Cricetulus griseus: one gene and its partners. The main gene of each other region encodes a partner of the protein of the gene in region 6 in a complex. Links are inferred from orthologs where the notes say so. Each region holds a gene or a part of one and is shown on either strand. Other genes may lie near its edges.

What was found.
Region 1: Sf3b5 (region 6) and Cwc22 share a complex: the UniProt entries of both Homo sapiens proteins name them as parts of the minor spliceosome. The link is inferred for Cricetulus griseus from reciprocal best matches to the Homo sapiens genes SF3B5 and CWC22.
Region 2: the proteins of Sf3b5 (region 6) and Phf5a are in contact, whole or in part, in a cryo-EM structure (PDB 7EVN), measured with the Homo sapiens proteins. The link is inferred for Cricetulus griseus from reciprocal best matches to the Homo sapiens genes SF3B5 and PHF5A. Residues at the interface, in NP_112577.1 of Homo sapiens: Arg4, Tyr5, Thr6, Ile7, Gln10, Leu14; in NP_116147.1 of Homo sapiens: Pro6, Asp7, Leu8, Ile9, Phe10, Cys11, Arg12, Ile88, Leu91.
Region 3: Sf3b5 (region 6) and Cwc27 share a complex: the UniProt entries of both Homo sapiens proteins name them as parts of the minor spliceosome. The link is inferred for Cricetulus griseus from reciprocal best matches to the Homo sapiens genes SF3B5 and CWC27.
Region 4: Sf3b5 (region 6) and Snip1 share a complex: the UniProt entries of both Homo sapiens proteins name them as parts of the minor spliceosome. The link is inferred for Cricetulus griseus from reciprocal best matches to the Homo sapiens genes SF3B5 and SNIP1.
Region 5: Sf3b5 (region 6) and Sf3a3 share a complex: the UniProt entries of both Homo sapiens proteins name them as parts of the 17S U2 SnRNP complex. The link is inferred for Cricetulus griseus from reciprocal best matches to the Homo sapiens genes SF3B5 and SF3A3.
Region 7: Sf3b5 (region 6) and Ddx46 share a complex: the UniProt entries of both Homo sapiens proteins name them as parts of the 17S U2 SnRNP complex. The link is inferred for Cricetulus griseus from reciprocal best matches to the Homo sapiens genes SF3B5 and DDX46.

What each region holds. Positions count from the first base shown.
Region 1 is NC_048599.1:97,153,846-97,157,345, reverse strand, and holds part of Cwc22 (pre-mRNA-splicing factor CWC22 homolog), read right to left. Parts: intron 2,891-3,500; coding exon 2,762-2,890; intron 1-2,761. UniProt on the Homo sapiens protein: Required for pre-mRNA splicing as component of the spliceosome. As a component of the minor spliceosome, involved in the splicing of U12-type introns in pre-mRNAs. Promotes exon-junction complex (EJC) assembly.
Region 2 is NC_048595.1:379,006,418-379,010,637, forward strand, and holds the start of Phf5a (PHD finger-like domain-containing protein 5A), read right to left. Parts: upstream 2,801-4,220; 5' UTR 2,711-2,800; coding exon 2,659-2,710; intron 2,085-2,658; coding exon 2,061-2,084; intron 1,535-2,060; coding exon 1,368-1,534; intron 1-1,367. Other genes in the region: Aco2 (aconitate hydratase, mitochondrial), read left to right, coding at 3,445-3,480.
Region 3 is NC_048595.1:323,100,651-323,104,703, reverse strand, and holds the start of Cwc27 (spliceosome-associated protein CWC27 homolog), read left to right. Parts: upstream 1-1,253; 5' UTR 1,254-1,621; coding exon 1,622-1,663; intron 1,664-4,053. Other genes in the region: protein SREK1IP1, read right to left, coding at 991-1,003. UniProt on the Homo sapiens protein: As part of the spliceosome, plays a role in pre-mRNA splicing. Probable inactive PPIase with no peptidyl-prolyl cis-trans isomerase activity. As a component of the minor spliceosome, involved in the splicing of U12-type introns in pre-mRNAs.
Region 4 is NC_048595.1:27,987,065-27,991,278, forward strand, and holds the start of Snip1 (smad nuclear-interacting protein 1), read right to left. Parts: upstream 2,801-4,214; 5' UTR 2,729-2,800; coding exon 2,517-2,728; intron 1,598-2,516; coding exon 1,495-1,597; intron 1-1,494. UniProt on the Homo sapiens protein: Required for pre-mRNA splicing as component of the spliceosome. As a component of the minor spliceosome, involved in the splicing of U12-type introns in pre-mRNAs. Down-regulates NF-kappa-B signaling by competing with RELA for CREBBP/EP300 binding.
Region 5 is NC_048595.1:28,346,922-28,350,421, forward strand, and holds part of Sf3a3 (splicing factor 3A subunit 3), read right to left. Parts: intron 3,303-3,500; coding exon 3,211-3,302; intron 1,312-3,210; coding exon 1,229-1,311; intron 1-1,228. UniProt on the Homo sapiens protein: Component of the 17S U2 SnRNP complex of the spliceosome, a large ribonucleoprotein complex that removes introns from transcribed pre-mRNAs.
Region 6 is NC_048595.1:275,868,412-275,870,893, forward strand, and holds Sf3b5 (splicing factor 3B subunit 5), read right to left. Parts: upstream 1,195-2,482; 5' UTR 1,046-1,194; coding exon 785-1,045; 3' UTR 501-784; downstream 1-500. UniProt on the Homo sapiens protein: Component of the 17S U2 SnRNP complex of the spliceosome, a large ribonucleoprotein complex that removes introns from transcribed pre-mRNAs.
Region 7 is NC_048596.1:274,656,438-274,659,937, reverse strand, and holds part of Ddx46 (probable ATP-dependent RNA helicase DDX46), read right to left. Parts: intron 3,273-3,500; coding exon 3,128-3,272; intron 2,574-3,127; coding exon 2,500-2,573; intron 931-2,499; coding exon 883-930; 3' UTR 1-882. UniProt on the Homo sapiens protein: Component of the 17S U2 SnRNP complex of the spliceosome, a large ribonucleoprotein complex that removes introns from transcribed pre-mRNAs.

The DNA of each region.
Region 1 (3,500 bases), on a different chromosome or scaffold from region 6:
ATGGCTGGCTGATATCCACAGGATGCCGGCCCTTTCCTGAAGAAAAATAGAAGAAGAGGAGAAAGGGGCTGGGAGGAGAGGAGGGAGGGGAAGTGTTAGTTGGGATGTAAAAAGAAAAACAAAAACAAACAACAATGAAGTGCTTTTATGCCAGGCTTGGTGACACACGCCTTTAATCCCAGCACTCAGGAGGCAGAGGCTGGCGGATCTTATGAGTTTGAGACCAGCCTGGTCTACCAACCTAGTTACAGGACAGTCAGGGCCACAAAGAGAAATCTTGCCTGGGGGGAGGGATGCTTTTATGAAAACAAAATTGTGCTTTTTTGTAAAATAAAACCAGAATAAGTTTTTTCAAAAATTGTTCTCTAAATAAAATTCTTTTCCTATTCACACTTCCTCTAATCATGACTGTAAGAATGGGGGAAAACATCACAATACATTGTAGGAGAAACTTTTCAATAAACCAAACCCCCAAAACAGCGGAGTAAAAACAAACTTGCTTGATGAGTGTAAAATTTAGACAACATAACGTTTCTACCAGGGTCCATCATCTGTATGAAACAATTCTGTGATGGGACACAGATTTGAGCTGTTTCCTTCTGTTGGTGTAATTTTAGAGGAACAAAAGTAAGGATACTGAGTGCTGATGAAGTGACAATATAGAGATAGGAAACTCACCTTGAGACAGTCTTTTTTTTTTTTTTGGTAAGGAAAAGAGAGATGGACAGCAAGCTAATTTACATTATTCTGAGAAATACTGTGACAGTTACTGGACTGCTAGAATCTAGGGTGGGAAATGACTTAATACTTAGCAGTGTAGACAGGACAGCTGAACCACTGAGGAGGAAAAGAAGTGAACCCAGATTATACATAAGACATAAGCAACAGAGGTCCCTTCTCTATGCCTGCTTGTTTTCCAGGTAAAATGAACAGAGCTCTGCCACCTCCATGGACAGTAGCAGGCTTTTGGCCAACCTTCTGCTCCCCAACCACATGCTCTACTTAGTTTAGTCCTGTTTTTAATGATAATAATCAGTGTAATATAAAATCACAAGAAGACAGCATTTGGATGTAAAAACAACAGACAGATATGAGATATTTATTTCCATTTCTTTATTCTTTAAAAAAAATCACCAATTGCTTGAATCCAAATAGAAAATTGATTCATTTTTCTTCAAATTTATTGTTTATCTTTCCCACTCATCTATCATCCTCATTTTGGTTTAAGTAGAATGTGAACTGGAAATAAAGGAAATAATGACAAAATCTCAACAGTGACAGGCCAAAAACCCTTCCTTTGGGATCAGGAACAGGCTACGCTTGTCACACTACCTGAATTCAGTGTAATACCCAACAAAACTCTAGAGGCATTTTTCAGGGGAAAGAAGTTCCTTAAAAATTAATATACACTATAAAAGAATCCAAGTGACCAAGCAATCTTCAGCAAAAAGAAAAAAGCAGGAGGCAGCATATTACCCAATTAAAAACCTACTATTGTTACACAAAGTTAATAGTAACCAAAACAGCATGGTACTGGCATAAAACTTTATAGAAACCAACAGAGAACAGAACAGAGTACCTAGGGACAAATTCATACATTTGTATCTGATTGTTTTTAACTAAAGCATCAAAGCATGCAATATAAAGGTAGTCTGTTCAAGAGTAGTGGTAGGAAAACTACACATCAACATGCAGAAGAATAAAAGCATAACTTAGTCTTATACCACACAACACAGCAACCTAAAATTGATTAACACATAGGAAAACAATCTGTAGAACTACTGGGGGGAGCGCCATGATATTTGTCTGGACTGATACATTAAAACATAACTCCAAAACCACAGGAGGTCCAAGAAAACTTGATATATGAGACCTCATTAATCTAAATGGCTTCTGGACAGTGAAAAGAAACCAAATACGGAAAGAGAAGTATCTGCAAGCCAAGTCTGATAAGGAACTAAAATCCAAAATATACAAGGAAATCAGATAAGCCAACAGTAATAAACCATATAACCCGTTTTGAAAATTGACAAAACATCTAAATAGACATTTCTCAAGATAACACATAGGTAATACCATGTAGCACCACCTATCATCAGATGAACAGAGAGAGTAAAACCCATGATAGATCATCTCATCCCTGGTACAATGAATGTCATAAAAATGACAAAGGCTGCAGAGAATAGGGAACACTTGTGGACTGTGAGTAGGCATGCACAGTAATGCAGAAGGTAGGGAAACACCAAGCCAGGGAGCTACACACCACATCCCTACAGCATTATCCACAAGAGCCAGATGGAGCTCCTGTCACTGACTAGTAACAAAGACAATTCATATACACACAATAGAATAACGTTCAACTCTAAGGAACAAATTCTGACCCTTGTGGCAACACAGGATGAACACACCAAAGCATCACACTGTTAATAACAGATTTATAAGATTTCATGGCAACTTAAACAATTAGTCTGAAATAGCATATTTTAGTAATTAATAGATTTAAATTATTAGAGAAATTTAGTAAATTCCTGTGCAAAACTATGCTGTGATATCAAATCTCAAAAAGCACTGACTATAAACTTTGAACAACATGATATAAGTTATTTAATAGCCTACATTGTAAAAGAACTGCATTTTGAATAAACGTTCACAAATACCTTTGAAATGAAGTAGTATAACAAACCAATGCTTACCGTTGAGAGATATTAAGTTTCTTTGAAAACTTACTATGAGATACACAAGGCAAATGACCAGTACTTACCTCCCTCTGACTATGTTTTCTTGAAGGAGCTCTTGGATAATGATACTTATATTGGAGATGTTGACCTTGTTAATGAGACCATTGATTGATTTCTTCAGGGCCTCCCAGCTCATCCTCTGATAGGCTAAGCTAAAAATTACCAAAAAAGGCAAAGTCACAAGGGACCTTGGAGCTGAGACACCGTCATAACATTTGAAAGACCTCCTGTTTATGCAGCTATCCTGCTGAAAGCTACATGGCCTCACTGTTTTTAACTTACTCTTGGGCATTTAAGCCTCACTTGCTTTTTACATTAAACTTGATAATGCTCAGTCTTTTAAGGCTCTAAAAATCTATGGTTTTTATAATTATTTCTTTTGGAATTTAATGTTGGATGGAGGAAAACATAACCTTTTTTCCCATATACTTCTTTTGAAGTCTAGTGAAAACAGTACACTTCCTAAAATGCATAAACACAAAAAGATAGATCAGACACTGAGACAGTCCTCAAAACACGAAAAGAAGCAGCTTGATACAGAGTGCTCTGAGTGTCTTCAGACATGAAATAACAAGAAGTGGTAGGAGGCCAAGTATTGATTTTAATTTCAAGTCGAATGGCCATAAACAGTATCTCACAGTAACAAATGGATTGGAAGTATACACTATAGTTATACTTCTAATAGAAAGAGATGCTAAAATTTAGTTGGGGATTAATAAAAATTAAATGCATTTCCCCAGTCCAGATTTGTGACCGGACTAC
Region 2 (4,220 bases), about 100 Mb from region 6:
ATAATTCTCAGGGAGCAGAATGAGGGGCAGGGATCCAAAGGTATCAGATCACAGGGCGCATGCAGACAAGTGAGATGGCAATTACTGTTTAGCAAGCATCCTCTGGTTCCAAGCTTAAGTCAGAAACAGACTCTAGACATTTCTGAAAGCTCAAGAAAGTGTTGTCTCTTCAGGGACCCTTTAGCTTGAGAACTGTGTGTCCCTCCTCTTTCCATTACACCCAGTACTTCCCAGTTCCTAAATAACAAATGCCCAGGGTGGGGAGTGTCTCCCAGGAACACTTTATAGGCACAGTACCAAAAAGAGAGCACCATCCTTGTATTACAGATTAGGCACTATTACCAAGACCCGAGAAAAAGGAAAGATGGAGGACATAATCCACAGCTGTGGAAGACAGAATACAATCGAGTTCTGGTTGTCTAAAGAATTGGAAAGAGCATTTAGGGCAGGAGAATGTTCAAACCACCAACTGAAATTATGATTTCATACTTAATCAACAACATTCCCCTTTTCCCAAACAATAGTGGATTCAACAGAGTAAACAATACTTTTCAGCTGCTCTAAAACTCCATTCTGGGCCAAGCACCAATCTGGTTCTCTAAGAAGGACAGGGAAAAACAGTAAGCACATAAAAGTATTAGTGGGCCAAAATACTCACTAGTGTGTGTGTGTGTGTGTGGGACCAACTCCAGGCAAGCTGTCCTCTTAATACCACATGCACCCACACAAATAGATGTAACAAAGAAATTCAACCAAACCAAACACAACCAAACTCTGCAGCACTGAGAACAGTGAGGATATACCCAACAGGAATCATTTGTATGTCCTGTGGCATAAACTGCATGCAGGCAGTAAGAAAAGCCTGGAGCTCATCCATGGAGAAAAAGCTCTCAGTTGGGAACTCTAGCTAATGCCTAAATGTGGCTTCCCCAATCAATATCTGCTGGATGTGGTAAGACCCGATTTGAGATTTGATGATAAAGTCAATCAAAACTGAAAATGCAGCTATCATAGATCACCTTCCGCACCACGTAGAACAACCCCCCTCCCTCCTTAAAGCCCTATCTGGCTTCGGGTACTGGTGGTAGGTAGCATCCACATGTGGAGTGCTGAGGAGGCTGGGTGCTCTCTTCATCATGAGCACACACCAAGAAGGTCTTAGAGAAGCATAACATGATGTAATGTGGACACCAGATTTAGTCAGATAGCCTGGGACAGAGTATAAAAGGAGGATGATAATAACCTCTACCTACATGACTAGCTGAACATTGCAGTCTCCATAGACCAGAAGAGATGGACATGGATGGCAAAATGGTCCAAAGAAAAAGGAAGAAAGGCCAGGAGGGAATGCTCAAGTCTACACTCACATCCTTCTCCTGAATGGTGCATTCTTTACAATAGTAGGCATCGGAGACTCCGGGGCCTCCACAGATCACACACCGGCCCTGGTAAGATCCATAGTTACACTCATCACATATGCGAACCAGGGTGCAGGGTCGCACATAGGAGTCACAAATCACACATTTGCCATCACCTGCAAAGGAAGAGGAATGGAGTTATATTCACTAGTGATTACTTCCTAAAGATCTTTATTCTATGGGTGAAATAACCAGTCTCCCTTTGACTGTGACTTCAGGCCTTTTCTCTATCTTGACAGCATCCACCCTATCTTATATCTACCATCTACCTCAGTTTCCTTCAAAATATAAATGGGAAGAGTTTTGACGTGTTAGCTAGGAGCTTTTAAGTCTATGTAGTTATCATCAACAAATTGCATGCCTTCTTGCACAAACATTGGCCTGGGAAGGTTCACACTACTCTGATAGTTCTTACTGTCCAAAAGTATTTTTCCCCCACAACCTAAGTATGAAATATTAAAGTATGCAAGCTAAAGTGGGAGTCTGGTGGGGAGCCTTTGGTTGTAGTCAGAGATTCAGTGTTCTTTGCAGTCTGGCATATCCACTCAATGCTTCTTTAGGGCTCCTCTGGAATAAATGGCTTGTTGGCTCGTCAAAAAACAAAGAAAGAAGGCAATGTGTGAGAGGGTATGTTCCACTCACATTTTTCACACAGTCTTCCGATAGCTGCAAGAAAAAACACAGTTAAAATCAAAATGGTGATTTAGCAAGGAAGTTGTTCCTCAAAGCTGGGATAGAGGATGGGGCAGGTAGCAATGACTACAGTGAGCAGAATAGCTGTCTTATTATCCTTTTTTTTCCCCTCTCCACGCCCCTCCTCCCAACAGATTCCCGTTTTATAGCCTGGAACTTCTTATGTAGTTCAGGTCGGCCTCGAACCCCCAGCAATCTTCTGCCTTCAGCCTCCCAGGCGCTGGGATTACAGTCGTGAACTACCACGCCCGGCCTAAGCCCCTAAGTTTTGCTTTGCACCAGCGCCCTGTCCGGAATCCTCAAAGCAACCTGGGACGGCTTCTCCAGACCTAGCGCAGACGCTGCCCCCAGTTTCAGGCTCCCAGACGCGCGATCCTGCCTTCTTATCACAAGTCACAAACCTGGGCGCACCCCCAGAATACCCAGGGACCGCAAGGCGCGAAACGTGGAGCCCCCAAGGCCAGGCCCTAAAGAGGAAGCGAACCCCCCACTCTCCCGTTTCTAACACCATCCCACTCCAACGGAAGGGAGCGGCGAGCCAACTCACCAACACCAGCCTGCTTGCGGCAGAAAATCAAATCTGGATGGTGTTTAGCCATCACTCGTCCCCAAGCCGGCGGCCGGAAGCTTAGAGAACTTCCGCTCGACCTTTAACCTACGCCGTTCCTACACCCACTTCTCCATCGTGATTGGCCGTCAAGGTGCCCATCAGCTTTTGCCCTTCGTTGCACCAAATCTCGCTAGTTCTCGCGAGTTTTCTCAGCGTGAACTTGCTGGACCCCTAGCAGGTGCATCAAAGACTTTATAATAAAGTTTTTGTTCCCTCCCGATTTGAACGAATAAACTAAGTGTTTTTGTCTTGGATAAAATTCCTACATATGGCTGGTTGGTGGTAGCACACGCCTTTAGTCCCAGCACTCGGGAGGCGGATCTCTGAGTTCGAGGCCAGCCAGACCTGTCTCGCAAAAAACTTTTGTACACATGGTACTTTTTGTGCTCGGGGCTGAGGCCAGGGCCTCACGCATGCTTCCGCAAAATATGTGGTCTGGGGGTTCCCTTTTGAGTCTCAAGGCGTGAAGGATGACCTTGAACTCCTGGCTCCGCTGCCGTCTCCGTCCCCAAGTGCAAAGACTGACAAGCTGGCAGTTTCTTTCTCGCGCTGTGCCCGTCATGGAAGCCCCGCCCACTGCGCTCTCTGGACTCCGGCTCCGAGGAGGAAGGCCCCACCCTCACCGTGACGCGCCGCTTTGGAGGCCACGCCCCTTCCCAAGCACTTCAAAAGCGCCCTGTGGCACGTCACTTTCACGCGACCTCATCTTTGTCAGTGCACAAAATGGCGCCTTACAGCCTCCTGGTGACCCGGCTGCAGGTGAGCGAGCTCCGATGTGTGGGTTCACGGGGGCGGGGAGCTCTGCCTGCGGCGGTAGGCGAGGCCACGCGAGGCGGGCTCAACCTGGGGCTGACTTTTGCGAACCTGTCCCGGTTGCAGGCCCAGCGTCCTTGTCCGCTCCTGCCTTGTCCTAGGTCAAGGTGTCCCTGGCACAGTCAGTTCCCAGGCCCAGTCCCCGTCCCCGCCCAGCGGGAAGCTTGAGTCTAAGCATCCGCAGTGTGATAAAGGATGAGGGCACCCCTCATTTCCTGAGGGCCGAATTGCCCGCTCCCCCCAGTGTGGTTTTCTGTTCTCAAGGTGATGACAAGGTTACTGGGGGGCGCGGTGGTTGTGGGTTCCTCTAAGCCAGGTGCTTGAAGCCCTCACTTCCCATTAACAGCAGAGATTTGCCAGCCGTTTGTATGTGTGGTTCTCGGGCCTGGAGTCTGCAGAAGCTATACCCAATACTACCTTTTGAGGACACCTGGGGTCATAGATGCAAGAAGGGTAGAGTATTCTGAGCACCAGTATAGTCCATAGTCATGATAACAGTGGTTCCTCTCTGCACCAGATGTCAAGACTGTTCACTAATATAACCTGATTTACATATTTCTGGCAACATAGATGTCAGATGATTTTTTTCCAACTCAATAGATAGTAAAACTGCAAAAAAGTAGATGAAAGTTCTGACTTTCACGGTGTCACGATAGTGCTATAGCTTGAGCAGTGACCCTGCTGAC
Region 3 (4,053 bases), about 47 Mb from region 6:
TACAACACAATAAAGAGTGTACAGCCACCTCTCTTCCCCCGGCTCCAAATGTGCTCCTTTGTAAACTGCCCAAGTTAGGAAAGCAGCTACCGCCTCCCTCCCTTCTCACCCTCCCCTGCAGCTATCTCTAGAAAAAAAGGTTCAGAAAAGGCTGCCACAGAACAAAGGAAAAGATCAAACAGTAGCAGGAAGGGCAGTTTCAAGCAAAATCGGGGCTTTAGAAACATCTCAGGGTCTTTCCTACAGTACTGTGCATTGTGAATCTCTAAGAGTCGAGGCAGGGCATATCTTTTAATATCACCGTGCTAATAGGGCTCTGTAGAGAAACATCTTGACAAAGACAACTTGGGGAAGTTTTTGCCAGGAAACTGGAGTAGCAGACATAAACATTCCCAGAGCACAGTTTGCCGTTTCTAGGATAGAAACCTCTGAAGACAAAATTGAAACCTAGTAAGAATCTTATATATAATTCACCAAAGCTCCCTCTTTTACACATAGGGAAACCGAGGCCCAGGAGGGCACAGCAACCGGCCTACAGCTAGCTACACTGTAACTACAGACAGGAAGAGCTAAACAAACCCCAGGTGTGCTTCTGGACTTAAGTGTCTTTCAGTACAATGTGTATGGCTACCTGGGCTCGTCAGATATTCATATTTCGAATTTTATTTTGAAGCCTGGTGAAAGTTTCTGTCAGTGTTCTGGGTAACTTGTCCTCTTAGGCCTACAGTTCATTGCTCCCAAGTCGTCTCTCCCTCCTTCAATACACTTTCCATGTAATCCTATGCAGTTCGGGCTTGCCTAGGAGGAACAACGATGATCTCTCACTCTTTCCCCCCTCCCTTTGGACTTGTAGTGTAAACTTTTTCATGTAAACCAACTGCACATTTTCAGGCCTTCGCCTGAATGCCGGAGGACTCCCCGCCGCCCCGCTCCCTGGACTCCACTGCTCGCCCCATTCCTCTGTAAAGGGACCCTGTGGTTGATCTTCACCTGGGACTGCCATGATGCAGGTGAGCGGAGTCCTGGGCTTTCGAGATCGCGTTAGGTTCAGGTCCGCTGAGAGGACAACGCACTATCAGAGAGATATCTCCCACCCCGGTCCCCGCAACTATAGCACACGGTAGGGGAAGGCCGGATGCGCTTCCAGAGTTCGCGGAACTCAGGCGCTGCGGATGCAGTTTCCAGGGGAGTCCTATCGCGGAGCACACATGGTCGGAACCATTCTGGCCAGCTTCGGGAGGTGAGTGCCATCTGCGAATACCTGACGTGGACGCAGCACTGGGATTTACGGATTGGTCCTTTAACTATTATGACAGTTAACATGACCAATTCTCTAAAGTTGCAGAAGTCTTATAATATTTTCTAGTTACCCGAAGGACACCGAGTTTCCCCCCTCCGGAGTTAGCGGTGCTAAGGTCCGAGAGCAACATGGCGGCGTCCATGAGTGGCTAGTTTGGGGACTAACTAGTGTTTAGTACGGCTGTCTTGCCCAACTCTGAACGAGTCAAGTTTTCCCCAAGTATCTAAGTTAAAGAATTGTCTGCTAACAGGCGGACACCTTCGGAGATCCGCCATTCACTCGCGACCACACTAAGGAGCGGAGTTCTGACCACTGACCAAGATGAGTAACATCTACATCCAGGAGCCGCCCACGAATGGGAAGGTGAGAACCGCTCCACCACACCTGGACACCCCAATTGAGAGCTCCCTGATTTAGGGCGGGGACGGAGGGACAGGTGTCGGGTTCTTAGAGTTGGAAAGACCAAAAGAACTGTCGTCCACACACTGCTCTTGGACAGTGTTGCATCAACATTATTTACGTTGACACGTCTCAGTGTATTTTTGAAAGAATCCTTTTGAGCAACTTCTCTATTCCCTAGTCTGCTGGCCCCTTAACTTCCTTGATCCAATTCATGTGGGCGCCTTCTAGTGTCTGTTTTTTGTTTTGTTTTGTTTTGTTTTTTTTTAAAGATTTGTGCTAAGATTGTTAAATTGGTTGTTATTTAACTTGGAGACCATGCCTTTCTCTACAATCATTTATTTCCTCGGCTCAACATTTTTTTCTCCTGCAAAATACATGCAAGGTTTTATGTTAGGTCTTAAGGATGCACTGGAAGAAAATCCATCATCACCCCTTTTATTGTTGAATCAGTTAAAGGAACTGTGATTTGATAAAATAATTGTGTAAATAAAAATACAGTTACAAATTATGATGAATACTGTTTTTCTTCCGAATAGAAACAGGCTGGAGGAGAACATAAAGCATAGTCTATAACTTTTTAGAGTCTCTACTGCCTAATGTCCCATTAGGCACCATAGGGGTGTAGTTGGATTCAGAGTCAATGGGGCACATTTCCCTTATTCAGTAAGCATGGTATCACATAGGAAGAAGTTGATGTATGACACCAGCTTACTTCTGAATGCCATCATGGCTGAAGGAGGAAAAAGACATTATTAATTTAGTAGCTTATCAGTGGAAAGTTTTAAGGTGTGCAATGTGTCCAAACCACACATTTTTTTTCTAGAAGTAAGTTCTCAGCAGCGATATATATGTGTGGTAGTGTTTCTTGATTTGTGTGCAGCTTAGTATTATATGAATAACAGCTCATTTCATCCTCACATCAAATCTATGGGGCTAATATGCCTGTTTTTATAGAAGGAAGTTAGTTGGGTGAGAACTGGTGGATATGTCCAGGCAGTCCAAGCTAGTAGGTGGAAAACTCAACTTTGAAGTTGAACACCTTGACAAAAGAGCATGTGGAGGGAAGGGTAATTTGTGGTACTTTGTTCTCAGAGATGGTACTAATGAGGGCATATTTTAGGGCTTGGACCACTATTCCTGAGACACTGGGAGAAAATACGTGTCTATTTGCATTATCTTCTCTTTATTTGTTTAATTATATATTTGTGTGTGTGTGTGTGTGTGTGTGTGTGTGTGTGTGTATTCCCAGAACCCATATTAAACACACACACACACACACACACACACACACACACACACAAGTCCAGGTACTTGTCAGTCAGTTTTTGTATAGAGTAATTATTTAATGATATGGATATATGGTGGCTACATTAACTAAGCCAACCTTTAAAAACTTCATATTATTATTATTATTATTATTAATTTTATTTTATTTTTTGGTTTTTTTGAGACAGGGTTTCTCTGTGGCTTTGGAGGCTGTCCGGGAACTAGTTCTTGTAGACCAGGCTGGTCTGGAACTCACAGAGATCCGCCTGCCTCTGCCTCCCGAATGCTGGGATTAAAGGCGTGTGCCACCACCGCCCGGCCAAAAACTTCATTTTAAAGATAAGATTAATAATTAAAAATTTAGCCTGGTGTAGTGGCACACATCTTTAATCTAGCATTTGGGAGGCAGAGGCAGGATATTCTCTGAGTTCAGTGACAGCCAGGGCTACACAAAGAAACCTGTCTTGAAAACAATAAATAAAAAAAATGTAAAAACTTGCCAGGTGTGGTAGTACATGCCTTTAATATCAGCACTCAGAAGGCAGAGCTCTGTGTGTTCAAGGCCAGTCTGGTCCACAAAGTCCCAGTGAGACCCCGTCTGGAACAAAATAAATACAATGTACAAATATAAGAAAACTATGTTAGCATTTAAGCATAGGAAGCATAGGAAGTCTGTCAAATAATTAAAAGTTATGGAGATTGTTGGGAATACATATTTCCATTTATTATTGTTACAAATGAACTTTGTATTAAATATTTGTTCTGTCCTGAAATATTTGTCTCTAAGATTATAACACCATTGTTTATGATCTACTGAGCTTTTAAAAACATTTTAAGCCTAAATACAGAGAACAGGAAGACAGACTTCTTTAATTTCAAAGTATATTTGGTGAAAGAAATTGTACATGAGAAGGCCCATTTTGTATGATTCTCTTTATATTAAATGTTTTATTTGCAATGTCTATATAAACTGAAAAAAATTTGTGATTGCCAAGGGATGAGGGTAGGGGAGTAGAGAGGGACTGAAAATGGTCAAGGTTTCCTTTCATTCTGTGGTAGTGAAATGCTTTGGAAATAGGGTCAGT
Region 4 (4,214 bases), about 250 Mb from region 6:
GCTCTTGGCTTTAATCCCAGCACTTGGGAGGCAGAGGCAGGTGAATCTCTTTTGAGTTCAAGGCCAGCCTGGTCTACAGAACAAGATCCAGGACAGTTAGAGCTACACAGAGAAAGCCTGTCTCAAAAAAACCAAAGAGTTCTAGGCCTGCCTATAATACCTACTAAGCAAGTTTCAAGCCAATCTGGACCTAACTGACAGGAGGTCAACTGTCTCAACTACAAAGATGTGGGATCATGCAATTTTTGTGTCCTGTCGCCGCCGCGCCTGCTGCGCTCCGCCCCCCCCGCCCCCCCCCCCCCCGTTTAGTAAGCAAGCCATCATGGTTCAGACATCTTGTAACTCATCAGAATTTTCTTCATTTTAAGGCTGAGTAATAATAATAGTCCATTTACTATAAATACATATGGAATGGTAATGGGACTAGAATTCAGGAAACAGGCTAGGCAAGCGCTCTACTTCTAAACTTTAGCCCCAGCCTTTTCGAGACAGGGTTTCTCTGTGTAGCTTTGGAGCCTGTCCTGGCACTCGCTCTAGAGACCAAGCTGGCCTCGAACTCACAGAGATCCGCCTGCCTCTGCCTCCCGAGTGCTGGGATTAAAGGCGTGCGCCACCAACGCCCGGCCTCCCTTTTTACTTTTTGAGACAGTGTCTCTCACTAAACTTATAAACCAGCCTTGAACTTGTGATCCCCCTGCCTCAGTGTAGGGATACATGTACACACCGCCACACTGGCTTGGAGCAAGACACTAGAAAATCTGGAAGATAACTCAGCACCCATGTGGTATCTGACAGCGATCCTTAACTCAAGTTCTAGGGAATCTGCTACCCTCTTCTGGGATCTGTGGGTATCAGACATATACACAGTGCACACACATACATGCAGGCAGGCAAAACACATACACATGGGGGGGGGGGAGATGCACCAAAAAAAAACTTTATTTTTAATCACACACATTCAAGACTGTTCTAACATTTACAGAGATGCAGACAAAGGAACTAGAACAGCTAAGACAATTTTGAAAATACTAAAGTAAAAGGGATTGGGGCACTCAGGTTTCAAGACTTATCACTTAGTGTGGTACTTGAGACAGCATGGGATTGGCGGAATGATAGACAAAAATAAAGATAAAGATAAAGGTGGAAAGGAACAGGGCTCTAGAGAACAGCTGGAGGCCTCCCACTGGCAGTGAGATGTCTGTATCCTGACTGTGATACTGCCCACGGTTGTGTGACAAGTTGCCATTGGGAGAAACAAGGAAAGGTACATCTCTCTGCACTATTTCTGGCAAAGAGTTATCAGAATTAAATCAATAACTTCCTCCAAATTTGAAGTTTCACATAAAACAACACAAACATATATCTAGTCTTTAGAAAAGCCCACAGCCAGGACAAGGAAAGACGGAGACACGCCGGTGCAGGCCACCTTTAGGTCCAGCAACAGCTCTGGATTTGAACGTGGGTCCTAGCAAAGGCTCCTGCCCACTCACTCACCTGCTTCACTTTGACGGTGGAGTAGTGGGGGCTCCGGCTTCTCTTAGTCCGAGGAGACTTGCTTCTTCTCCCTGAGGACTTGTTTTTCTTTTTGGCTGGGGACCTTATCAGAGCATGGTACACAGGATTTTACCTCAATGTCCCTGCCCCCAAATAAATTAGCTTCAAGTATCAGGCTACTAAACATAACACATTTGTGAAATCACTAATGGAGTCAGGTCCTCACTTCCCTAGCCACTTCTCCCAGGCTCACATACACAACTGCCTGCTCACTTAGATACCCTAATACTTGAACCCCAAAGCTCTTTTCCCAGTCTGTCATCCTACTGATTGGCATCACTATCCAGGGAGTCAATCTTGCCTGGTTTTTGGTTTTGTTTTGTTTTTTGTTTTTCCTAACACACTCCCTTCTCCAACAACCACATCCAATCCCTTGGCAAGTCCCAGGGACCCACCCTTTCCTCCACCCCACCTCATTCCTACAATGCTGCTCCTTCATCGCTCAATTCCAGACACACTGCCTGTTTTGCTTCAACTTTTAAAACAAGCCCAATTCCACTTCAGGTTCTTCGCATACATTTTTCTCTGTCCTGACCCAGCGCTAGTGCCGGGGTTAAAGGCGTGCGCCACCACGGCCCGGCCACGTTACTGTTTGACTATATCCTCAGCACTAATTGAATCTATTTGTTATTTTCCTTCTTTAGGGTTGGAGCACGCCCAATTTCGCCGGGGCCAAACCATCTCTCTTCTTCACCCTGTGGCCCAGTACCTCAATTGATCGTTAGCCCACACTGTGCACTCAGTAAATCGATGCCGTACGGGGGGCATCGGCGAATGAGTGCTGCGAAGAAGTCGCCAGGACCCAACGTGAAACAACACTTTGGCGGCAGGCAAGTGGAAAGACATTCCCACCGTCCCCCGTGGGAGGCGGGGGGAATCTCATTTCAACTCAACAGGTGCTCTACACCCCGAGTCGCTCGCACCGCCCGGGCCCCGCGCCATCCCGGCCGCGGCCCTCTCACCGGCTCACTCCCCGGGCTCGACTCCCACGGTGGCTAGCGCGGCCCGGCTCGGCGGCGGGCGGGGACGGGCTAGCGGCTGGGGCGTCGGGCCGCCGGTGCGCGATAGGTTCGGGGCTCAGACGCTCCTGCTTCACCACCACGGTCGCCAGTGCGTCGTCGGCCCGGTGTCGCCGCCGGCCGCTTCGCTCCCGCTCGCTCTTCCCGGCCTTCATCCTGCGGCCCGGCCGAGAGCCACTTGCACGGTCCGTTGAGCCACTCGAGCCGAAGGAAGTGACGGCCCGACCTTTGTACTTCCGCTTCCGGGCAGCGCGCTATCCCAGAAGCCCTCACGGCGGGGGGTCCCCTAGGTGGGCGTGGCCGCAGATGCTAAGGTTCCTACGCTGGGGACGCCCGGGCTTGTGACCCCGGGATCCCGGCTCCTGGGGAAGTGAGGCTGGAGGACTGGAAAGTCAAGGCCAGACCTCGGGAGGCGGAGGCAGAAGAATCGCTGTAAATTCGAGGCCAGCCTGGGCAATTTAGTGAGTCGGTCAGGTAGAGATTGCCTAGCCGAGCCCGAAGCCCTGGATTCCATCCGCAGCACCGCCAAATAGAAATTAAGTTAAAAGGGCGGAAAGCCTGGAGAATGTATCTTAACAGTAAAGTGAGCGTTTGCCTCGCGTGTGCAAAGGGCTGGGGGCAGTCCCTAAGACCTCACAAATCACCAAAAGAAAAAAATCCTTTTTTTTTTTTTTTTGCTTCTCGAGACAGGGTTTCTATATGTAACGTTGGCTGTCCTAGAATTTACTCTGTAGACCAGGCTGGTCTCGAACTCGAGATCCGCCTGCCTCTGCCTCCCAAGCCCTGGAATTAAAGGTGTTCGCCTGGCTCTTAAAAAAGACAAATCTTGCCAGGCGTTGGTGGCGCACTCGGGAGGCAGAGGCAGGCGGATCTCTGTGAGTTCGAGGCCAACCTGGTCTACAGAGCCAGTGCCAGGATAGGCTCCAAAGCTACACAGAGAAACCCTGTCTCGAAAAACCTAAATAAATAATAAATAAATAAATAAATAAATAAATAAATAAATAAATAATCTTGGGGTCTGGGCTGGAGAGATGGCTCTTCCTGGGGTCCTGAGTTCAATTTCCAGCAACCACATGGTGGCTCACAACCATCTGTGATGAGATCTGGTGCCCTCTTCTGGCCTGCAGGGATGCATGCAGACAGAACACTGTATACATAATAAATAAATAAATCTTTAAAATAAAAGAAAGAAAATTGGAAAGTTAATCCAAACCTGTTCGTGGCGGATTGTTGATAGTTACAAAACACAGACAAATACTCAACAATAGGAAATTCTTTTTTGTTTCTTGAGACAGTGTCTATGTAATCTTGGCTGTCCTGGAACTCACACAGATCCACCAGCCTCTGCCTTCTAAGTGCCAATCGTTGCTAAACAAACTAAGGAGTCAGGAGATGACTTGCGTTTTAAGGCTGAGCAAAGGTGGTTTGCCCATCTCATCACATCCCTTATTAGATCTAGCGCAAAGTCTCCAATCTTGTTTACCAAAAAGCCTGGAGCGTGTGGAGCTAGTTCAGTAGAAAAAACTTGCACGTGGCCGGCTCCGCCTCCCTACGAAGCCCCGCCCCATCCATGGGGCAAGGCGAGTAGGGGTTTCCATGGTGACCGCAAACAAGGCCCCACCTGGAGGGGCCGATACAGAG
Region 5 (3,500 bases), about 250 Mb from region 6:
GACATACTGCTATGCCCTGCAAACTATACTTCATTTCTTTCTTTTTCTTTTCTTTTTTAAAGACAGGTTTCTTTGTGTAGCTCTGACTTTGCTGGAACTCAACCAGGCTGGCCTGGAACTCAGAGATCTGCCTGCCTCTGCCTCCCAAGTGCTGGGATTAAAGGCGTGTGCCACCACCACCTGGTTCACCACTAAATTTTTAAAATGAGCGTAATTTTTTTTTTTTCACATCATGACCTTTCCTACCTCCTTTTATCCTCGAGAAGTAATGTCAATTACTAGGTCTTAATTAACTCACAGATAAAAAAAAAAGGTCAAGTAAACAGAATATGAGAAAGAGCAAGCTTAGGAACACTAAGGAAAAGTGTGATAAATTCATTATTACTTTCCACTTAATACCAGATCCAAGCACGTAGCCAGTCCTGGAAACTTTCCCTGTTAAACTCCAAAAACTTCAGAGGTCCCCAAACAGACTTTTTTCTATATTCCACAAAATTAAGGAAGGTATGGGTAAGACCACAGACGTTCCCATAGATACTATGGTAGTCTGAATGTAACTGCTTCCATAAGCTCATAGGCAGTGGCATTATTAGATGTGGCTTTGTTGGAATAGGTGTGGCCTGGGAGGAACTGTGTCACTGTGGGGGTGGTCTTTAAGGTTTCAAATATGCTCAAGACAAACTCAGTGTTTCAGTTACCTTCCTGTTGCCTCTGGATCAATATGTAGGACTCCCAGCTACTTCTCCAGCACAATGTCTGACTGCACATCACCATGTCCCATCATGATAATGGACTGACTCTCTGAACTTTAAGCCACCCAATTAAATGTTTTCCCTTATAAGAATTCCCATGGTCATGGTGTCTCTTTACAGCAATAGAAACCCTAACCAACAAAGATACCTTTGTCCACAACCAAAAATACAGATTTTTATTTTATTTCTTGAGACAGGGTCTCACTATACATCCCTGGTTGGCTTGGACTATGACTAGGCTGGCCTCAAATTCAGTGATCCACCTGCCTCTGCCTCTTAAGAGTGCTGGGACTAATGGCACACACCATTATATCAGCATCACAAATATTTTTAAACTAACACTCACTTATCTTCTGATAAATCCAGAAGTCATTTATGTAGAACATTCATGCAACAAAAGCCAGAACTCTGACTTCAAAACTTCCCATGAAATTCTAGCTAAATCCAGAAAAGGCCAGCAAACTGTTAATGCCTACCTCTTATACTCTGCATTCTTTCTTTCTTTAGGAATGTCAAATAACTGGTCAAAGATGGACAAGTAAGTGATGTAATCCAGCTTCTGAAAAGAGAAGAGAAATAACAAAAGACAAGTCAATTACTATTCAAAAAGTAAGGTCAAGTGCTGGAAAGATGGCTCAGTGGATACAGGTGCTTGCTGCCAAGTGTAAAGACCTGAGTTCTTGGAAGCAGAGGACTAACTCCCTCTAGTTACCCTTAGACCTCTATACTTGAAGGGCACTGCACACATATACCAAATAAATAAATTTTGTTTTAAAAAGCAAGGCCAAATTGACTGTTCTCTAACCAAGTATCAAGGCTTGGCTTTTCTTTCCTGTCTTTCAATCCCTAAGGCTGTTGATTCCACTTAAGTGAGCAGAAGATTGCTGGAAATGAAACTAACCCTACAAGATCAAGTTAACAAACCCAAATCCAAACAAGTCACATGTTGGATTTTTAGGGTGGGCCAGGCTCCTGTCTAAGGATTTTGCCATTCTCAAATAAGGTCCTGAAAGGTTACCTATGTTAATTCATGAAGCCACTTCCTGAAGATCTTTGAACCAAACATGGGGGTGCAAAAAAGAACAAGACATCTTGTCTGCAGAGTTTACAGGTTAGTAGCTGAACTTGGGGACATTTCCCCATAAAGACAAGGTCTCACAGAGATCCTTCTGCCTCTGACTCCTGAGTGCTGGAGTTACAGGTGTGCCACCATGCCCCATCTATGAACTTACTATTAAACTTCCATGTGACCAATTTGCCATTTTAAACCTCATCACTGAACAAACAACAAATAAACACCTGCCCCGCAAAAAGACATGAACTATTCCTTTTCTGACAGAGATCGTGTTATGTTTCTCACATGCCTCATACTGTGCATCTAACACAAGAACATTCAGAGTATTTATGGGTTTAAAAACTTGCCAGGCAGTGATAGCACATGCCTTTAATCCCAGTATATGGGAGGCAGAGGCAGGGGGGTCTCTGTGAGTTCAAGGCCAGCCTGGTCTACAGAGCTAGCCCCAGGACAGCAAGAGTTACACAGAGCAACCCTTTCTCAGAAAACGAACAAAAAAGTTATTTATCTTTGGGCAGGGGGTTAGTTCAATGAGTCAAGTGCTTATAGCATAAACATGAGACCCTAACAACAGATCCCCAAACCCCATGTAAAAGCTGGACATGGTGGTACACACCCAGACTCCTAGTGCCAGGAAGGCAGAGACAAAGATCCTTGGGGCTCACAAGCCAGCCAGAATAGCTCAAAAGGTGAGCTCCATGTTTAGTGAAAGATCTTGTCTCAAGAACTAAAGTGGCAGGACCAGAGAGACAGCTCAGCAATTAAGACTACTTATTGTTCTGGAAAAGGACCCAGATTCAATTCCCAGCACTCACAGAGTGGCTCACAACCATGTGCAATGAAACTCCAGCTCTAGGGGATATAGCTCCCTTTTCTGGCTTCTAAGGGTACTAAGCACACACATGATGAATACATGCAGGCAAAACACTCATAAAATAGAAATACATAAAAAAAAAACCCTCTATTAAAAAAATACAGCGGAAGCCTGGTAGTGGTGGGACATGTCTTTAATCCTAACACTTGGGAGGCAGAGAGCAACAGGACAGGCTCCAAAGCTACACAGAGAAACCGTATCTCGAAAAACAAAAAGAAAAAACAAACAAACAAAACAAGTGTGGTAAGCAACTGATGTTGGCCTCTGGCTTCTATGTGCACACTCCCCTCAGATTTCAACTGCATGAACACATTAAAATAATGAAAATTATTAAAGAAAATAATGGGCTTGCTGTGTTAACTGTAGGCAGGTGCCATTTTATTATAAATATTGTTTATTATTCCAAGAAATGGGATCACCTACTTAATATCAACACACATTACATGTGGCACACTCCATGTACTTTAACTAGGTATCTTGATTTCATCCCTCCCCTCTTCAGGCCTTACCTCAGACGCCTTCAGGTTAATGTACTTAAGGTAGCAGTCATGAAGATCAAGGTAACGACCATAACCCTCTTCATCTGTGAACTCCACCAGGTCTGTAGGAATCACACATGTCAATGATTCTGATATTACAGACCACTTTCCTGAACTTGCTCTATCACTACCTGTTCGACGATCCATGAAGTAGCCCTTCACTCCTATGTTCTCCTTACTCTCATTAAATTAACACATCTAGGCTTTCATTTTGAGCTTAGATAGCACAAAATAAGTATTTTGTGCAAGATCATCAGGAT
Region 6 (2,482 bases):
AGAAATCCTTCAGCCTCTGCCTCCTGGGTGCTGGGATTAGAGGTGTGTGCCACTCCCAGCGACTCATTGCTTTTTTGGTGTTCCTTCAGTAACTTAAAACACACCAACGAATGCCCTATTAGATGGTAAGCAACTTCCCATGCTCTGCACGGTTTTTCTCTGGATTCCGTAAAATCTTTTCTCAAATGTCATCATCGCAATATCTTAGCATTACAAGCATAGTATTTAAAATTGCGAATTCTTCAAGCTTCCTCAATCTCCCTGCATCATCTAGCCCTGGTCTATTTTAGCCTTTCTCCAAATTGGCATAATGTATGCCCCCAAACCTTTGGAAAACGCTCTGGTGAACACTGAATGAAAAAAAAAAATCCGTTCTTCATTTCTGAAGACACACAGACTAACTCTCAAGAAAAACAGATGCAACGTGCAACATCTTGAGACCTTGGTCCACAGCACCCTCCCCAGACCCCACCCAAGGAACACAGCAATCCACACCAAAAGATAGGACAAATCCTAAACTTTATAAACATGGCAAGAAGGACAACCAACTACTGAAAGGCAGACTCATTAGAAACGCGTCATCACTCCCGTGGCGTCTTCTCCCTCGCTTGCCGGGTCTAGGGTCGCTCCTCCCGCACAGTTCCCGGGGGTCCCGACAGTCTCTCGGTGACTTGTTCGGAATCGTCCACAGGTAAGCAGGCCAGGCGTGACAGACGATGAAGAAGCCCGAGCAAGGAGGACCGGCCCACCGCTGGCCGGCGGGGGAGCCTGGGAAGCGCTCGCCTCAGTTCTCCTCGGGCTTGTCCGCCGGCGGCCCGCTGGGCTGCAGCATCTTCTCCATCAGGTTGAAGCGCACGCGGGCCTTGCTCTCGTTCTCGGCGATGGCGAAGTAGTTGAGGAGGTCGAAGTGACCCATGTAGGAGCAGTAGGAGTCCCGGTGCTGGTTCACAAGCCATTCCCACTTGGTGGTGTCGGCGTGGCCCGTACCGATGTACTTGGACTGCAGATGCTCCAGCTGGCTGTGGATGGTGTACCGGTCCGTCATCTCGCCGCTCCGCTCTAGGCTTCCAGATCAGGCCGCAGACCCGACGCTACCCGCTCCGCGTTCAAACCTGAGAGACGCCGCCGCCGCCGCTGCCGGCCCGACACGGAACTTCTATCTGTGTAGGCGCGGGAGAAAGACGCCACTGTGGCGCCTGCGCAGACGCTCTTCTCCCAGGCGGAAGCGGAAGTGAATCCTGCCGCGGCATTGGAGTTGCCTAAGAAACATTGGGCCGTCCCCTCAGCGAGCCCGCCTACTTGGAGAGCGTTGCATGATGGTCTGCTGAGTGGCTCTTGGGTGATCACGTTCTAACTCCGGCGTTGCATTCTGGGATTTGTAGTCCAAAGAATTTGGCGTGTTTTTTTCTTTTGGTTTGGTTTTTTGTTTTCTTTTTCTTTCTCTCTCTCTCTCTCTTTCTTTCTTTCTTTCTTTCTTTCTTTCTTTCTTTCTTTCTTTCTTTCTTTCTTTCTTTCTTTCTTTCTTTCTTTCTTTCTTTCTTTCTTTCTTTCTTTCTCCTCCCTCCCTCCCTCCTTTCCTTCCTTCCTTCCTTCCTTTTTTTTCTTCTTTTTTTTTTTTGCCTGACTAATGTAGGATGGTGTCCAACGATTACGACTACAAGTGACCAGGAAAACTATCTCTTGTACCTAGAAGCTCACACGGACCGCCCTTGGTCCCAGCTTTGTCCCTTAGGATCTGGGTAGTGGGAAAAGTTCTTTGGGTCCTAAATGCTTGGTGATGAGTGTCAACACCAGGTGTCTTCCACATCAAAATCCAGGCTCCAACTCCTCACACCACCCAGGGGCCCGAGCCCTCCAACCAAACAACCTCCTAACTTTAAGGCTGCTTACAATCATTTTCTGGAAGTCAGTTGTGTCTCAAGACAAGTACTCTCTCCTTCTGTTTTTCTGCCTGGTTACACCTTATGTTCAACTTAGAGGTTATGTATCTCCTCACAAAGGTATAAACTACTTGAGAAAAAGATACTGTACTTCTTTTCTGATATCCTTTGAGGATATTATATAGCTTGATGGAGATCGTATTCTTTAAAAGAAAAATCTGATGAATGGACAAAGAGCAATCTCAGTCAAAGAGACTGATAATAGGGGAGGGCCCAACCTATTACAGTGGGGACACCCCTGGGCTGGTAGTCCTGAATTGAATAAGAAAACAGACTGAGAAAGCCACGAAGAGTAAGCCATTAAGCAGCACCCCTCCATGGCCTCTGCATTGGCTCCTGCCTTCAGGTTCCTGCCCTGCCTACCTTAGATGATGAACTGTGATACGGAAGAGTAAATGAAATAAATCTTTCATCCCTGAGTTGCTTTTAATTATAGTGTTCTGTCACAGCAAGAGAAACTTCAACTAAGACAAGTAGAATCTGCATGAAAATTCTGTTAGTAAGAAATAAATCAAAAATTAGTGCAATTCCAGTGCCATTAA
Region 7 (3,500 bases), on a different chromosome or scaffold from region 6:
CCTGAAGGAAAATTAGATGAAAAGTAACAAGGTGTTTGTATATACCACATATCTATCATATATATATATATGTCTAAAGAAACACGTTGGAGGGAAAGGAATCGTATTTAGTGTGTATTGGCCACAATCACTTTATCTAAAAGCAGGAAAGAATGGAATTAGCATTTAGGCAGAGTCAGAGGCTGATCAGGAACCTGAAATAGTAACACTAATGCAGTAGAAAGAAGTGGTGATCCCAAACACTACAAAGGTAAATGCAGGAGGACTACAAGTTCAATGCCAGCCTGAGCTACACAGGGACTCTCTCTAAAGGAGCAAGAAAAAAGAAGTGCAAAAATCCCATTATGCTACTTATGTTTAATTTTACAAAACCAAAGGCAAACCAACTACTACTCATTTTTGATGATAAAATTAAATTCTGAACCTATTTTATAAACATCTATTAAAACATTCCTGGATCCAGTTCTTATGTTCCATTCAGTCAAATAAGATTTAAGCTTAAGAGGGGGCAACAAAACATGACATGGACTTTTACCCTTTCGTTGGAGACGATTACATCACAATTTCAATGAAAGAGGAGAGGCCAGTGGCCCTTAGTGACTGACACACTTTACTACCACATTCAACACAGAGTCCTTGTTTCCAGACATTTAAGAGTATTGGTATCTAAGGTTTACATTGGGAACATCACATTCTGAAATCAGGTCTGATGGAGATGGAGTTTGGATCAGTGTGGGGCAGTACTTACTGACAACTGACTTCTGTAACAAACACTGGTTTCTTGTTTTTAAAAAATAAGCAAGACAAAATTTTCAAAGTCTTACTTTACAATACATTGTGAACTTCACAGACCAGCACAGGGACAAAGTGCCTCCAAGATGTTTATAATACTTTGTATCGTCCTTTATTTGTTGGTTGGTATGAATTTTGCTATGATAGAAAATAAAAGACAGAAGGTTAGAAAGAACACACACACACACAAATGAATATTTGAGATCATTTTCTTTTAACAATTTATAAACTATCAGATAACCAAAATAAAAAGGCTGTGTGGAGGCAAAAGGAAGGTCTCAATAAAGAACTCATTTTTTTCTGTTCACTGTGCACCCCACCCCTTCCCCAATAACTCTGTAGTCTCCAAACATGAAATTCTTTTTCTATTACTCTTAGAAGAAACAATCTCAATAATATAGCACACTGCTATATTATTAGTATATTTTTGAGATAAGGTCAAATTCAATAGCCCAGGCTAGCCTTGAATTTATGACGTCCTTTTGCTCAGCTTCCCAAGTGATAGGATTACAGGTATGAGTCACCATACTTGGATTGTTTATATATTCTCTCAGATGTGGGTTCGATTCCTGGCACCCACATGGCAGCTCACAAGTATCTGTAGCTCCAGCTCCAGAAGATCCTACACCCTCACACAGGTATACATGTAGGCAAAACATCAATGCACATCAAATAAAAATAAAAGTATTTCCCCCCCTCAAATTGGGTACTTGCATTTAATCCCAGCACTCAGGAGGCAGAGCAGAGGCAGGTGGATCTCAGTGAGTTTGAGGCCAGCCTGGTCTACATAGCGAGTCCAGGACAGCCAGGATTACACAAAGAAACCCTGCATCCATAAGCTAAGTAAATAAATAAATAAGATAAACATTCCCCATAAAAGAATTCTATGTGTTATAAATGGAAATTCAGAAAAGCCCCACCCCCCACCCCTTTATCCTTAGATAGCCAACCAGACTTCCTTCCAAAGCAACTGCTGCATACTGGTATTAAGGATCAATAATGTATCTGTGGCCCCTTAGGAAGGTTATCTTTAGCAGGCTATTCTTTTTTCAAAATTAACTCGCTGCCTAAACTTTAAATACCGACCACACTATGGGTTGGACAAGACACAGAACAGCTGGCATTTTCAAATGCTCCAATGAGTGAAAATGGGTAAATGCTTTTGTAAAACAATGTGGTAACACCCACTAAAAAGATAAACTGTATAGAATTTATAACTAGAATCCTATTCCAAACTATAAATTCAATGAAGAGATGCATTAATATATAGAAAAAGTCAAGGAAAAAGATTCATAGAAATATCATTCATAAAAGCCCAAAGCAGAATTCCTTCAGCCCAAAGCTGTTGTGTTTTCAACAATGACATAACATACAGGCATGAAACAGCACGCACTGTTGCTACCTGCAACAACAGCCTGGCCTCCTCAATATAATGCTGAGACACAAACAGACTAAACAGCATACAATCACACTACACAGAGGTGAAAACGCCTAACACTCATCCTCAAATCTACAGTCACAATCCGTCTCTATCTGAAGGTGATATGGTGACATGGAAGTCAGAGGACATGCTTCTAGATGGAGAAACGGTCTGTATTTCTTCATTTAGATAGTGACTACTCTAAAAACTCGCCAAGATACATTTATGTGTTGGGACGGGGTCCAAGTCTGTCACTGAAATAAGCAAGGCGTGAGGGTTTCACTTACCAGTCGGATCAGTTCTTCTTTTATGAGCCTGGTGATTTCTGCCTTGGCTTTCTGCACAGCCAGTTCGTTGGCACCTGATGATTGAGTAGAAAACATACGGTTCATACTATTGAACTCCTCTGGCTGTAAGGAGGTCCAGGACACAACACCTCAAGTCATGTTAGGGAGTATACTGCCTGCCAAGACAGTGAACTAGTACAGCAGGTTTACTTTCTAACTTGAACACTGATAAAAATACTTGACACAATACAAGTGTGTGGGTCCTGTGCCCCCTGGGACAGCACATGCACTACAACATGAAAGGTGCAGACAATGAGCACGGTCCCTACACAAGGATGACACAAAAAAGCATAAGTGTTCAAACCTTAAAAAAGAAAAGAAAAATGTACGCCCTTAAAACCCGGACTTTCTCTAGAGCAATTTTCACCCTTAAATCCCACAAGTAGATCCTTCCACTTTATATTTATGTGGGTACTGGACTTCTAAGACCTCAAGCAATACATGGTCTTCTATTTCTTAGAGGTGTTCCTATTTTCAGTCTTTCCTACTCTCAACTTCACACTGACCCGCATTACATCTACACAACATTGATCTAATTCATGCTTCACACAGAAGCAACAGTACGCACTTTCAATCGCCAAGTAAATCTTCCGCTCCCCTTCTTTGGGCTCTTTGCCAGGAGGGAAGTAGGTTCCTCTGATTGTGATCGCGGCTTCAGAGTATTCGCTGATTCTCTGCAGGGCTTCCTTAGAGGTGACTTTCCACCTTGCCGTCTACAAGACAAGTTGGGGGAATTAAATCACACCATAGAAATCTGAGTTGTGGGCAGCTGAGAGGACTCGGTGAATAAAGCCCAGGCTGGCCACCTGAGTTCAAACCCCGGAAACTCCTGCAAATTGTCCTGACTGACACACAGCCATGCTGACACCTGTGCCCCACCACCCCCCAATATAGAAAACCACACAATTAGTCTAAGATTCTGGGTTGTAAAGGAACAGATT